Rattus norvegicus: one gene and its partners. Each later gene encodes a partner of the first gene's protein in a complex. Links are inferred from orthologs where the notes say so. Each region holds a gene or a part of one and is shown in the gene's direction. Other genes may lie near its edges.

The links.
Region 2: the proteins of Ikbkg (region 1) and Ikbkb are in contact, whole or in part, in a crystal structure (PDB 3BRV), measured with the Homo sapiens proteins. The link is inferred for Rattus norvegicus from reciprocal best matches to the Homo sapiens genes IKBKG and IKBKB. Residues at the interface, in NP_001093327.1 of Homo sapiens: Arg62, Ile65, Arg66, Asn69, Leu72, Arg73, Arg75, Cys76, Leu79, Phe82, Gln83, Gln86, Lys90, Leu93, Met94, Phe97, Ala100, Arg101, Val104; in NP_001547.1 of Homo sapiens: Ser705, Leu708, Glu711, Ala712, Leu715, Cys716, Leu718, Leu719, Ala722, Ile723, Asp725, Thr726, Glu729, Gln730, Gln732, Phe734, Leu737, Asp738, Trp739, Trp741.
Region 3: Ikbkg (region 1) and Chuk share a complex: the UniProt entries of both Homo sapiens proteins name them as parts of the I-kappa-B-kinase (IKK) core complex. The link is inferred for Rattus norvegicus from reciprocal best matches to the Homo sapiens genes IKBKG and CHUK.

What each region holds. Positions count from the first base shown.
Region 1 is NC_086039.1:157,386,241-157,389,889, forward strand, and holds part of Ikbkg (NF-kappa-B essential modulator), read left to right. Parts: intron 1-177; coding exon 178-320; intron 321-2,817; coding exon 2,818-2,879; intron 2,880-3,189; coding exon 3,190-3,332; 3' UTR 3,333-3,649. UniProt on the Homo sapiens protein: Regulatory subunit of the IKK core complex which phosphorylates inhibitors of NF-kappa-B thus leading to the dissociation of the inhibitor/NF-kappa-B complex and ultimately the degradation of the inhibitor.
Region 2 is NC_086034.1:76,056,518-76,060,166, forward strand, and holds part of Ikbkb (inhibitor of nuclear factor kappa-B kinase subunit beta), read left to right. Parts: intron 1-347; coding exon 348-455; intron 456-3,430; coding exon 3,431-3,560; intron 3,561-3,649.
Region 3 is NC_086019.1:252,941,343-252,945,517, reverse strand, and holds the start of Chuk (inhibitor of nuclear factor kappa-B kinase subunit alpha), read left to right. Parts: upstream 1-1,244; 5' UTR 1,245-1,342; coding exon 1,343-1,447; intron 1,448-1,497; exon of another isoform or gene 1,498-1,878; coding exon of another isoform or gene 1,879-1,905; intron 1,906-4,175.

The sequences.
Region 1 (3,649 bases):
TTGAGCCCTTTGCATTGTTCTTGACTTGGTGCTATTGGGATCATAGGCTTTCACGTGTGCTTCTGATGTACTATCATGGGATCCCAGAAGACAGGACTCTGTTCCTCTGGACATGGCATAGAATGCTTGTTGGGAAGCTGATGGATGGTGGGTGAACACCTCTGTTCTGTTTGCCAGGCGGACATCTACAAGGCTGACTTCCAAGCTGAGAGGCATGCCCGGGAGAAACTGGTGGAGAGGAAGGAGCTTTTGCAGGAGCAGTTGGAGCAGCTGCAGCGCGAGTTCAACAAGTTGAAAGTTGGCTGCCATGAGTCAGCCAGGTGGGCCTCTAAGAGTGCAGCCAGGAGCACAGCCATAGACAAAGGAGGTGTACTCTAGGCAGCAACCAGTAGTAACTATAGGAGATGGATGGTTCTTAGCATTAGTATTAAATTCCCTGTGCCTCCTTCTACTGCTCTCTTTGTATTCTGTCCTTCCAACAATGACCTTTCCCATTGGAAACTAGAAATGTAACAGAAATGTATGTATTGAGATGTATCTAAGGCTGGAGGTTTCATAGCTTTCATACTGTCTTAGTTTGGTTTCTGTTGCTGTGATAAAGACAATAACTTATAGCAGCTGGGGAGGAAAGGGTTTATTTTAGTTTACAGTTTATAATCCATCACAGAGGGAAGTCAGGGCAGATATCTGAAGGCAGAAAATGAAGCATAGTCAAAAAATGCCTTACAAACTTGCCTATAAGCCAATTTATTGTAGATAGTTCCTTAATTGAAATTCTCTTGCCAGTTTGTGTGAAGTTGACTAGTCAACCTTGTCAGCTTGACATACAAACACTCCACTGTTAAACCATAACCTTTCCTTTCTTGTTTTTTCTCCAATTCATGTCAATATCACAATATAAAATATAAACTTAAAAGTGTCACAGTCTTTAAAACATTCCATCACTCTTTAAAAAAAAGTTTAAAAGCCTAGAATCTCAACTGTGCTTCTATAAAATAATGTTATATATTTTTTTACTTCAAGAGTGAAGAACCAGGGCACAGTCACAATCAAATCAAATCAAAACCAAAATCCAACAGTGTTAAAAAAAACCCACTGTTGATGCTTGCTGTCTGGTGCCCACTCATGATTCTCTGTGCTCTAAAGGTCTTGGGCAGCTATACTTACTTCTCTGCCTCTGCCATTCACAGGACACACAGCTCATCTTATAAGCTCAACCTGTTTCTTTTCCACAGCTGCTGCTCTCCTTGGTGGTTGTCTTATGGTACTGGCATCCAATATGCTAGGATTTCCACTGCAGCTGAGGATGTACCTTCACCAATAGCTTCTCCTGACCTCTGAAATAATGCCAAGCCCTTACTTTAGCTGCTTTCCATGATCCCTTCATATTACTTGGCCCCCTCTTCTTTGTGCTGACCCTGAAGAGATACTCTCTAGATTCTAAAAGATTTCACCTCAGTGATGCTGTTCCTAATCACAACTAATTTCTCAGCTTCAGTTAACCAGTATCAATTGTCCTCATAAAGCAAAGGTTTTACTTCAGTTCTGCTGATCTCTTTTTAATCACACCTGATTCTTCAGCCCCAGCTGACCAGAACTACAGACTCTTAATTCAGAATACCACACAAATGACCCTGATAGAATCTTTGCTTCCCTCTGAAACTTCATCATTTGCATTGGTGTCAGCATTATTATCTTCCTTGGCTCCCACAGAATAGCCCTTTAAGCCCTAACCTCTTGATGGCACTTCCAGCCCAAAGTTCCAAAGTCCTTCTACAGTCTTCCACAAAACAACATGGTCAGGTTGGATCTGTCTCAGCAATTCCACAAAAATCTGGTAACATTGTCTATCTTAGCTTGGTTGCTATTGCTGTGATAGACACCATGACCAAAAGCAACTTTGTGGGGAAGGGTTTATTTCAGCTTACAGTTGTAGTTAATCATGGAGGGAAGTCAGGAAAGGAACTTGAGACAGGAACAGAAGTAAAAACCATGGAAGAACTACTTTTTGGCTTGTTCTCCATGGCTTGCTTTCTTTTACAACCTAGGTGATTGCTCAAGGGGTGGCGCTGTCTCTTAGGGAACTAGGTCCTCTCACATCAATGAAGAAAATGCTCCAAATGCTTGCCTATAGGTCAGCCTAATGGGAATATTTACTCAATTGAGGTTCCCTTTGATCAGATGACTCCAGCTTTTGTCAAATTGACAAGCAATAACAACAACAAAACCTAACCAGTGCAAATATATTTATCTAAAACCTAAAAATATGACTTTATTTGGTTTAGAATCTTTGTATATGTAACTAGTTAATATAAGGTAACATTAGGTTAATTAATTGACTGTGGTACTTACAGAAGCACCAAATTAAGATAACAGAAGGCAGCCATAAGAAGGCCAAGGCAGACTCTGGGATTCAGCTACAAGCCAAGAAATATCAAGCTGTCTGTACACTACCACCAGCTAGGGCTAATTCTGCCCAGTCCTCTGACACTTTGATTTAGGGCACCTAGCCGCCTGTATCATGCATGTTTCTGTTATTTGAAGTTACTAGATGTGTGGTGGTTTGTAACAAGGTTCTGAGGAAACTAATACAGGGAACCCAGGAAGTAATTGCTAATAAGTACAAAGTTTCCTTTGGAGATGATGAAAATATTCTAAAATTATATGGATGATTGAATATGCTGAATAGAGTAAAACCCTCTAACAATACTGTTTAAATTGGTGAATTGTATATAGTATGTGAGTTATATCTGAATGAAGGTATTTATTCATAAAAATTCCTACAGGCACTGATTGAATATTTTCTGTTTTCAAAAGGATTGAGGATATGAGGAAGCGGCATGTAGAGACTTCCCAGCCCCCTTTACTCCCTGCTCCAGGTGAGTGAATAAGTGGTAGATGGTGGGAGGAGATGGTTAGGGAGGGCAGAATGTTGTGCTGAGGGGAAGCATGTGTTGGCTTCTCTGCTACTCTGCTTTGGGGAGTTCTTGTTGACCATTCCTGTCAGTAGCCCATCACAGTCTGAGGTCAAAGGAAAAATATGCTTGTAGAGGTGGCTCCCAGTTATGCAGTCAAATATGGTGGTATCAGTAAGTCTCATCACCTTGTTAGCCTTTCTGTTTTAGGCCTACATAGGCTGTGCTAAATAGTTACATAGTCCATCATACTCCTGTGTTCTTTTTTTCTCAGCTCACCACTCCTTTCATTTGGCCTTGTCCAACCAGCGGAGGAGCCCTCCTGAGGAACCACCTGACTTCTGTTGTCCCAAGTGCCAGTATCAGGCTCCTGATATGGACACTCTACAGATACATGTCATGGAGTGCATAGAGTAGGAGCAGCAGATTCAAGGCCACCTGTAATACTATGTCCCAATCTGTGCAACTTATGCTTTCCCGTTTCACCTGCGTAGTCCACAATTAAGTGCTTAATGTCAAAGAGTGGGTCCCAGGAACTAGCAGGACCCTTGCTTTAGCCCTTTGGTCTGCTAGTCCCCTATTAGGGTAGACAGCTCCATTCAGGGCTGTTTTTTTTCCCTTTTTTCTTCTGTGTGCCTGAGCCACTTCGCCTCTGGTGGCTTCTTCTTCCCTCTTCTCCCATTTTCTTAGGGAGTCTAGAATGGAGGCCAGGGGCTCTCAGGGAGCATCCCTTC
Region 2 (3,649 bases), on another chromosome or scaffold:
TCTTTTAAGCCGTCCACATAGAAGTCCACGGTGCTTCCTGGAGAACTTAGGGAGAGAGGCCATGGGTGACCTTGCTCAAGGTTGTCCTGCAAGGTCTCATTTGGACATCCCCGAGCACGTTCTGTTTACATGCTGTGGACTGAACCAGGGCCACTCATGCTACACTCACTGCCACTGAGCTAAACCCCTAACCACAGTGCAGACCACTCACAAACCCTGGGAGAGGCATCCCAGCAGCACACGGACCATTGTTCTAAAAAGCATACAGTTGTGAAGTGACGTTACAAGTGTAAGCTGGGTACTTGCCACTGAGTGACATAAAGGACATCTTAAAATGACACCCGCAGGCACTCTAAAGTCCGGCAGAAGAGCGAAGTGGACATTGTTGTTAGCGAGGACTTGAACGGAACAGTGAAGTTCTCAAGTTCCTTACCCTTCCCCAATAATCTCAACAGGTAAGGCCGTGGGGCTTCGGTCCTGAAGATACTTTTCTCCTCTTCTTAGAAATCCAGGGTTGAGGTAACAGCTGATACTTTTGATTTTATGTTTGGGTGACCAGTGCCTGTGGAAGCCAGAAGAGTAGTCAGATCCCTTGGAACTGGAGTTAGGGATGATTGTGATCTGCCTTGTGAACCTTACTGGGAACCAAACACAGCACTCTTAGCCACTAAGCCCTCTCCAGGCCCTTGGATAACTTGAACAGATATCAGAATACCATTCTGTGATGAGAACTTGACCAGTCCATCTCCACATTAGACATGGGGTGCACTCCCATATCTCATCTCCCTAGAAATCTTTTCTTATTTAATTCTTTGCTTGGTTGCTTGGTTCAATAGGTGGATGGGTGGGTGGGTGTGTGGGTGGGTAGACAGTTGTTTGGTTGAGTGGTTGGTTGGTTGGGTGGTTGGTTGGTTGGGTAGATAGTTTTTTGGTTGGGCGGTTGGTTAGTTGGGTAGATAGTTCTTGGTTGGGTGGTTGGTTGGTTGGGTAGATAGTTTTTTGGTTGGGTGGTTGGTTGGGTAGATAGTTCTTGGTTGGGTGGTTGATTGGTTGGGTAGATAGTTCTTGGTTGGGTGGTTGATTGGGTTGTTGGTTTTTGCTGTGGTGGAGATGAAATTCCTGTCTTTGTTTTTTATTGTTTTGTTTTTTGGTTTGGATTTGATTTTTTTTTTGAGACAGGGTTTCTTTGTGTATCCCTAGCTGTCCTGGAACTCACTCTGTAGATCTGGCTGGCCTGGACCTTGGAGATCCTCCTGCCTCTGCCTTCCAAGTGCTAGAATTAAAGTCATACACAACCCCCTTCTGCTGGAATCTCTGGGTTTGTTTAGGTCAAGCAAGTACTCTAGTGAGCCACACTCGCAGCCCTTAGACTCTCTCTTTACTAAATTTACAGACTATTTGTTTGTCTCATTGTCCTTATTGATCTTGTTCTAGTTTACTTTCTGTTCCTTTTCTATTGCTATGATAAACCACCTGTGGCCCAGGGGTCTACTAGGACAATTGATGCTGGTTACCTGGAACCAAGAAAGTAGTGGTGATTTAGAAGAGACCAGCATCACTTAGGTGAAAACTTCAGGGAAGTGTTTTCTAAGAGCACAAAGAAGCTGTGTTCCAGAGACAGCCAAGGTTGCATCTCATGCTGCAGCTGGACTTGGTAATATGTAAGAGTCACCCAGGTGGTACTGGTTTTGAAGGCATGAAGGGGTCATGGAGAGCAGCTGAGGCTGGGCACTGTGAGAGGCCGTGGAAGCCACTGGTGAAGGTGCAGCCTCAGTTGCAGTTGACAGCACTGACAGTTGACAGTGTGTGTCATTGTGGGGTGGGCTTGGAGACGCTCCTCCTAGATGCCTAGAAGTCAGCAGTCTCCTAGTTCCCTTGGAACAAGATGTCGAACTCTCGGCGCCTTGCCTGCCTCATGTTTAGGAGGCATCGAACTTGCCCATCTTCCCGAGGCAATCCATCTGAGCCCCCTCTTCCCAGGTCACTGTGGGTTTGACATTGGCAGCCGAAGCTATGATGTGGCTCTAGTTCACCTGAGCATAGGGTTTTTCTGTTACACCATGGGAAGGAGGGTCAGGATTTCGCCTTCTTCCTCTGTGTTCCCATCTGGCCTAAACAGACAAACCTTTGAAGTCTGAATGTGACTGTGGTCCAGTCTTAGAGCTAGAGTGTGAGCAGCTCACTACCCAGTCAGAATTGATCATAGCAAAGGAAGCCCCAGGATGACTACTGCAGTGTTGGAGGACAGGGAAGGAGTTGGATGGACTACAGCCATGGGAGCGACTTTGGATGTGCTGTAATGGGGGACGAAGGGGAAAGTTAGATGTAGAGGACATGGGCAGATGAAGTAGAGGAATGTTGATGGGGAAAGATCAGACAGAGCAGAGTCATGTAGGGTTGGCCTTACGTGGCCAGTGTAGGGGAAGTAGGAGGAGTCTGAACATGGGCACATACACCCATTGGATGCCCTCAACTCAGCAGCTGTGGTCAGTCCAGGTCAGAGCTATTTAAGACTTTCACTGGGAGCCTGGCATGTTGGTGCACACCTTTAATCCCAGCACTGGGGAGGAAGAGGCAGGTGGATGTCTGTGAGTTCAAGACCAGCCAGCCTGGTCTGCACAGTGAGTTCCAGGACAGCCAGCAGGTAGGGTCCCTTTGTGTCCCAAGAAATGTTTCTAATACCACGGGAATGTAAATACATAAAGTGTATAAACCAACATCTACTGATAACAAACCGTAAGGAATGTTTATATACCGCAGGAATGTAAGTACATGAAGTACATAAGTAGACGTCTACTCATAACAAATCATAAAGAAATTTAAAAATCCTTTGGTGTACATAGTTACACATGTACATACAGAGACATGGTGCTGATGAGGGAACCACAGAGCCAGGCAAGCACTCCACCCAGCTCTCAAACGCGTTATCAAAGCCTCAGGGTCACTCTAAGGTTTACTGGGGTGACCCTGTCGGAAAGGAGAGGGGCCGTTCCTAAACTGTTAACTCGTTTGGAAGTGTCTATGTTTTCTCTCAGTTCTCTCATTTTCATTTTTGATAATTATCTGGTTGCCACCATGTGTGTTGTGTTGAGACACACTCAAGCCTTCTTTAAAATGTGTGTTTGGATGCACTCACGCACGTGTGTTCTGAGTGTGCACGTGCTCTGGAAGACGACCTTGGCTCTCACTCTTCCCGCACTGTCCACCTTCTCTGTTTCAAGGCAGAGTCTCTCACTGGTCTGAACTGGCTGACTCCTCAAGAATCCGCTTGTCTGACATAAGCACTCGTGTGGTCTTTGGGATGGAGCTTAGGGTCTTGTGTGTGCACAGCAAGCCGCTCCCTCGAGCTGGGCCGTCAGCCAAGGCTGTGCTTTGGTGTTTGCACACTAAGGCAGCCCAGCCCAGACCTCTCTTCCCTTCGCTCCCTTAGTGTCCTGGCTGAGCGTCTGGAGAAGTGGCTTCAGCTGATGCTCACGTGGCAACCTCGGCAAAGGGGCGTGGACCCCCAGTACGGTCCCAATGGCTGTTTCAGGGCCCTCGATGACATCTTGAACTTAAAGGTGAGAGCAGAGCCAAGGCAGCCCTGAGGTGGCAGCCGGGGTCCCCAGAACACAGCAGTTTTTCCAAGGAAGGGAGACATAGCGGGCCA
Region 3 (4,175 bases), on another chromosome or scaffold:
GCAAAGAAAAACAAAACAAAGCCCCAAGAATTTGAAAAAAAAAATCAATAAACTTTGAGTTGCATTTTAAGAATAGAATATTTAAAGTGAACTGACTGTAGAAACCAGCTTGATTAACCCAGTCAACATTATCTTGGCTGGAGTTTTCATCGTCTCTCTTCTTATGAAACTATTATGAATCTATATCCCATCTGTGGAGATGGGGCATGCCTTTCACGCCTATCTCTGTCATACACTGCAAATGAGGCTTCATATTGTTAGACTGTCTCCTCTCCTCTAGAGATGTTCTCTCAGAGGCTAATTTCAATTACCTTCAAGTCCGATATTCCAATTCCACAGAAGACATGAAAAGAATAGAAACCAGCTTATCGAATACAACTCACTATTAGTGATGCACAACATCGAATTGCATGCTGACAATGAGCATCCTTGACTTCAGCCCAGTGGGGTGCTACAAGCCTGTAATCCCACTCTCAGAAAGATGGAGGAATAACAAGTTCTAGGCCAGGCTGGACTGTATTGAGATCCTGTCTCAGAACAAGACACCTAGAGAAGCGGATAACCCACTCAAAAGGCTAGGCGGGTTGACGTTCCCTGTGCAACCCACCACTCAGAAGTATTATGCCTTATCGGACCGAGACTTCCCCCAAGCTTGTCTTTGCAGTCATGTGGCACCACTTCAGAATCAATTCCAATCCAGAACCACTTCCCTGGCAAATCTGAAAGAACAAGGCTGATAAGCAGTAAGGTCGGTAGGAAAACTCACAAAGTCCGGAAGAGTTTTTCACTCAGGAATAACGTCACATCCTTGGGTGGTTTGGAATTATAGGAGAGACTCTGACTTAGAAGGCTAATGAATCAACAGGCCGGTTAGCGCAGTTTCCTTTCACATTTACGGAGGCCTTAACCGGTGCCGACCAGCGAGTGTGGTAGGATTCCAGGGGCAGAGGGCAGGACTCTCAAAAAGATGAAATGTTTGCAAGGTAGGGACAATGCGGAGTTTAGGGTTTGGAGAGAGATCTATTTTCAAATAAGAACACGTTGTATGAAACCCTCAAAGAACCAATTAAAATATCTAAACAAAAAATAAAAACAGCACGCTCCATAGTCCTCGCAGCCTGGAAGTTGCCCGGGCACTTAAAACAGAATAGGAATCCGCTCGTGCCCAGCCTACTCGTATGCACCAATCCCAGTGTGACTCGAGACGCACGGGGCGGGACTTTGCTTGCGGAAGCTAGCGGAAGTGACGCAGTCTCGCGAGAAGGAGGACTCGCAAGCCTCGGCGGCCCGGAACCGGCCTCGGACTGGTGGCAGTGCCTGAGGCGGCTGGCGCTCCCGCCCCATGGAGCGGCCCCCGGGGCTGCGGCCTGGCGCCGGCGGCCCCTGGGAGATGCGGGAGAGGCTTGGCACCGGCGGCTTCGGGAACGTCAGTCTGTACCAGCACCGGGTGAGGCGGGAGGCGGGAGCAGTGACGCCGGGTCTGTCTGGGCGTCCCTGGAACACGGGCTGTCAGTCAAGGTGGAAGGGGAGGTGGTCTAGCCCCTGGGCAGTGCTGGGGCCAGGGCAGTGAGCGAGCGCCGGTGATACTGTGCTTGTGAGCCTGGGTGGCCGTGTTCCAGGTGTGTCTGAGGTCCCTGGGCAGTGAGTGACAGGGAGCTGTCGCAACTGTGTGTGGTGATGAGTCTGTGTGCATGTCGAGTGCCCGAGCGTGCGTGTGTTTGTGTCTATGTGTTGTGTGTGCCTGTGTGTGTGTGTGTCTGTCTGTCTGTCTGTCGCCGGGTGCCTGCTCACACTCGCTCGGGAGCGGTGTGATCCACTGGAGACTGGCATAGACGAGGAACCTTTCTAGTGTCCAGAGTTGAACCTTTGGAAACATTGATGGACTTTGGAATTGGAGCGTTTCAGGTAAAGACCAGGGTGGGTGAAGGTAAGTAAGGCGATGAAAATGATCCTTGCTTCAGAGGAAAGGAAATAGACTGAAAGGTGAGGGATTTGTTCTCTAGAAGACAGCTAATGTCAGGCTCAGGAAATTTGATTTATCGAAAAACATGTAACCATTGCAACGGCAGTCACTCGTGCATTTAAAGGATTTTCAAACCAACAGTCACTTTACTTACGATAGTGTGTTGTTGTTAATGCTGGGGGTGGAACACAGGACCTTGCACATGCTAGGCAAATGGTTGACCATTGGGTTTCATCCTCAGCCATAGTTAATCATGTCTGAGTCACAGGTCTTTTGATAAGTCAATAAAAATTATGCATCTTTTCTCCAGAAAAATCCTATCAGTACAAACCAGCACGTTATTATTGACGGTTTTTGCTTTCCTGAAGGATGTAGGGAATAGACCTTGAATACTAATCATTGCAGTGTAGGATTTTTGTTGACTGTAAAATATTTAGAAGAGTATACATACATTCTGGGTCTCTTTGAGAGTTACGTCAGATGTCATTAGAAACTTAGCAAGTACTAGGTAGGCACTGTAATTGTCGGTTGATAGGTCTCCACTGTCATGTTATCATAACCCCCATCAATTGTACGTTTACAAAAGGGACAGTAAAATAAAAATGGTGTTCTGGAGCATCATACACAAGGGATACGTTTTAATTAGAAAAACAATAAGCCAAGTACAGACATGTTAGTAATACCTTAAGATTGGGCCTACCAGGGTTGGTATACTCAGCTGGTAGAAATAGTTCCAGTATTTCATATATACCTTTGAGGACAGGAAGAAGGACATGAAATGATTTAGTTGATTGCTTTATCGGGCATTGATGGTGCTCAAATCAACAAGAATATTATTTTTACCCTGAAGGAGCTTTCCATTTCAGAGAGAGATGGGCATCGGAACAGGTAGGCATGGTGGCATATGCTTGTAATCCTAGTACCAAGGGCTCTGAGGCAAGAGGATTTGGAGCTGAGACCCAACTAGGTGGTCTTCATATTGTGCTCAAGGCCAGTGTCAGTTACATAATAGACCGTGTTTCAGAAATAAACATAAGTACAGTTTGATACCCTAGACACTGGAAGATGTCATAGGGTTTTATTGCTGTGAAGAGACATAATGACCAAGGCAGATTTTATAAAGCAAACCATTTAGTTGGGACTGGTTTCAGAGGTTTGGTCCATTAGCCGCATTGTGGGAAGCATAGCAACATACAGGCAGACATGGAGTCAAGAGTCCAACATGTTGATCCTCACGCTGCAGAAGGAGACTATGTTCCATATTGGATGCAGCTTGAGATAGGAAGCATCAAAGCCCACTCCCACAGTGACACACTTCCACCAACAAGGCCACAGGCACTCCCATGAGGCCATACCTCTTAATAGTGCCACTTTCTGTGGGTCAGGCATTCATGCACATCAATCTATGGAGGCCAGACCTGTTCAAACCACCACATCAGAGGGCTTTTGCCTCGGGGTATTTGAAAAACCTAGTTCCATGGAATCCATTAAAGAAAGAATATAGAAAGGCATGGTAGGAACCCGTGGGAGAGTGAGGCAGGAGGATTGCCTTCAGTTCAAAGCCACTATGGGCCATTAGAGTAAGAACCTTTAAAAAACAAAATGTATGGACTAGAGATATAACTTAGTGGTCACATGCATGCCCTAGGTTCTGTCCTCAGTACTACAGATTCAACCTTCCACACATTGAAAATAATTGTGGGTAGGGTGGGGCTTGGGATTGCAGGAGAAGCATCTACTAAACGTATACCGATAGAGGATTTATCTAAGTTTTGTGCAAGTGCTGTGCTCTTTAATGCAATGGACCCGAGCTTCGACTGACGTCAGGATTCTCTGGAGGTCCTAGAGGCTGCAATCTACATATTGAGCAACAGCGTCACTTTTTCCACACACATTGATAATGTTGCGTGCACTAGTCCTTTTGCTTGGAGAATCATGATTCAAATTAGGAATCCAATTTAAAAGCTCCAAAAAGTAAAGAAATTTGTGTTTTCAAACTTTATTCCTGCCTCATTTTTCAAAATACCAGAACCAGTAGATTCATATTACCATACCTAATGTGTTAGGATTTTATTACTATGAAGAGACAATGTGACCAAGGCAACTCTTACAAGGGAAAACACTTCATTGCAGCTGGCTTACAGTTTCAGAGGTTTAGTCACTTATTACATGGTGGGACATGGTGGCGTTCAGACAGACCAGGTGCTGGAGA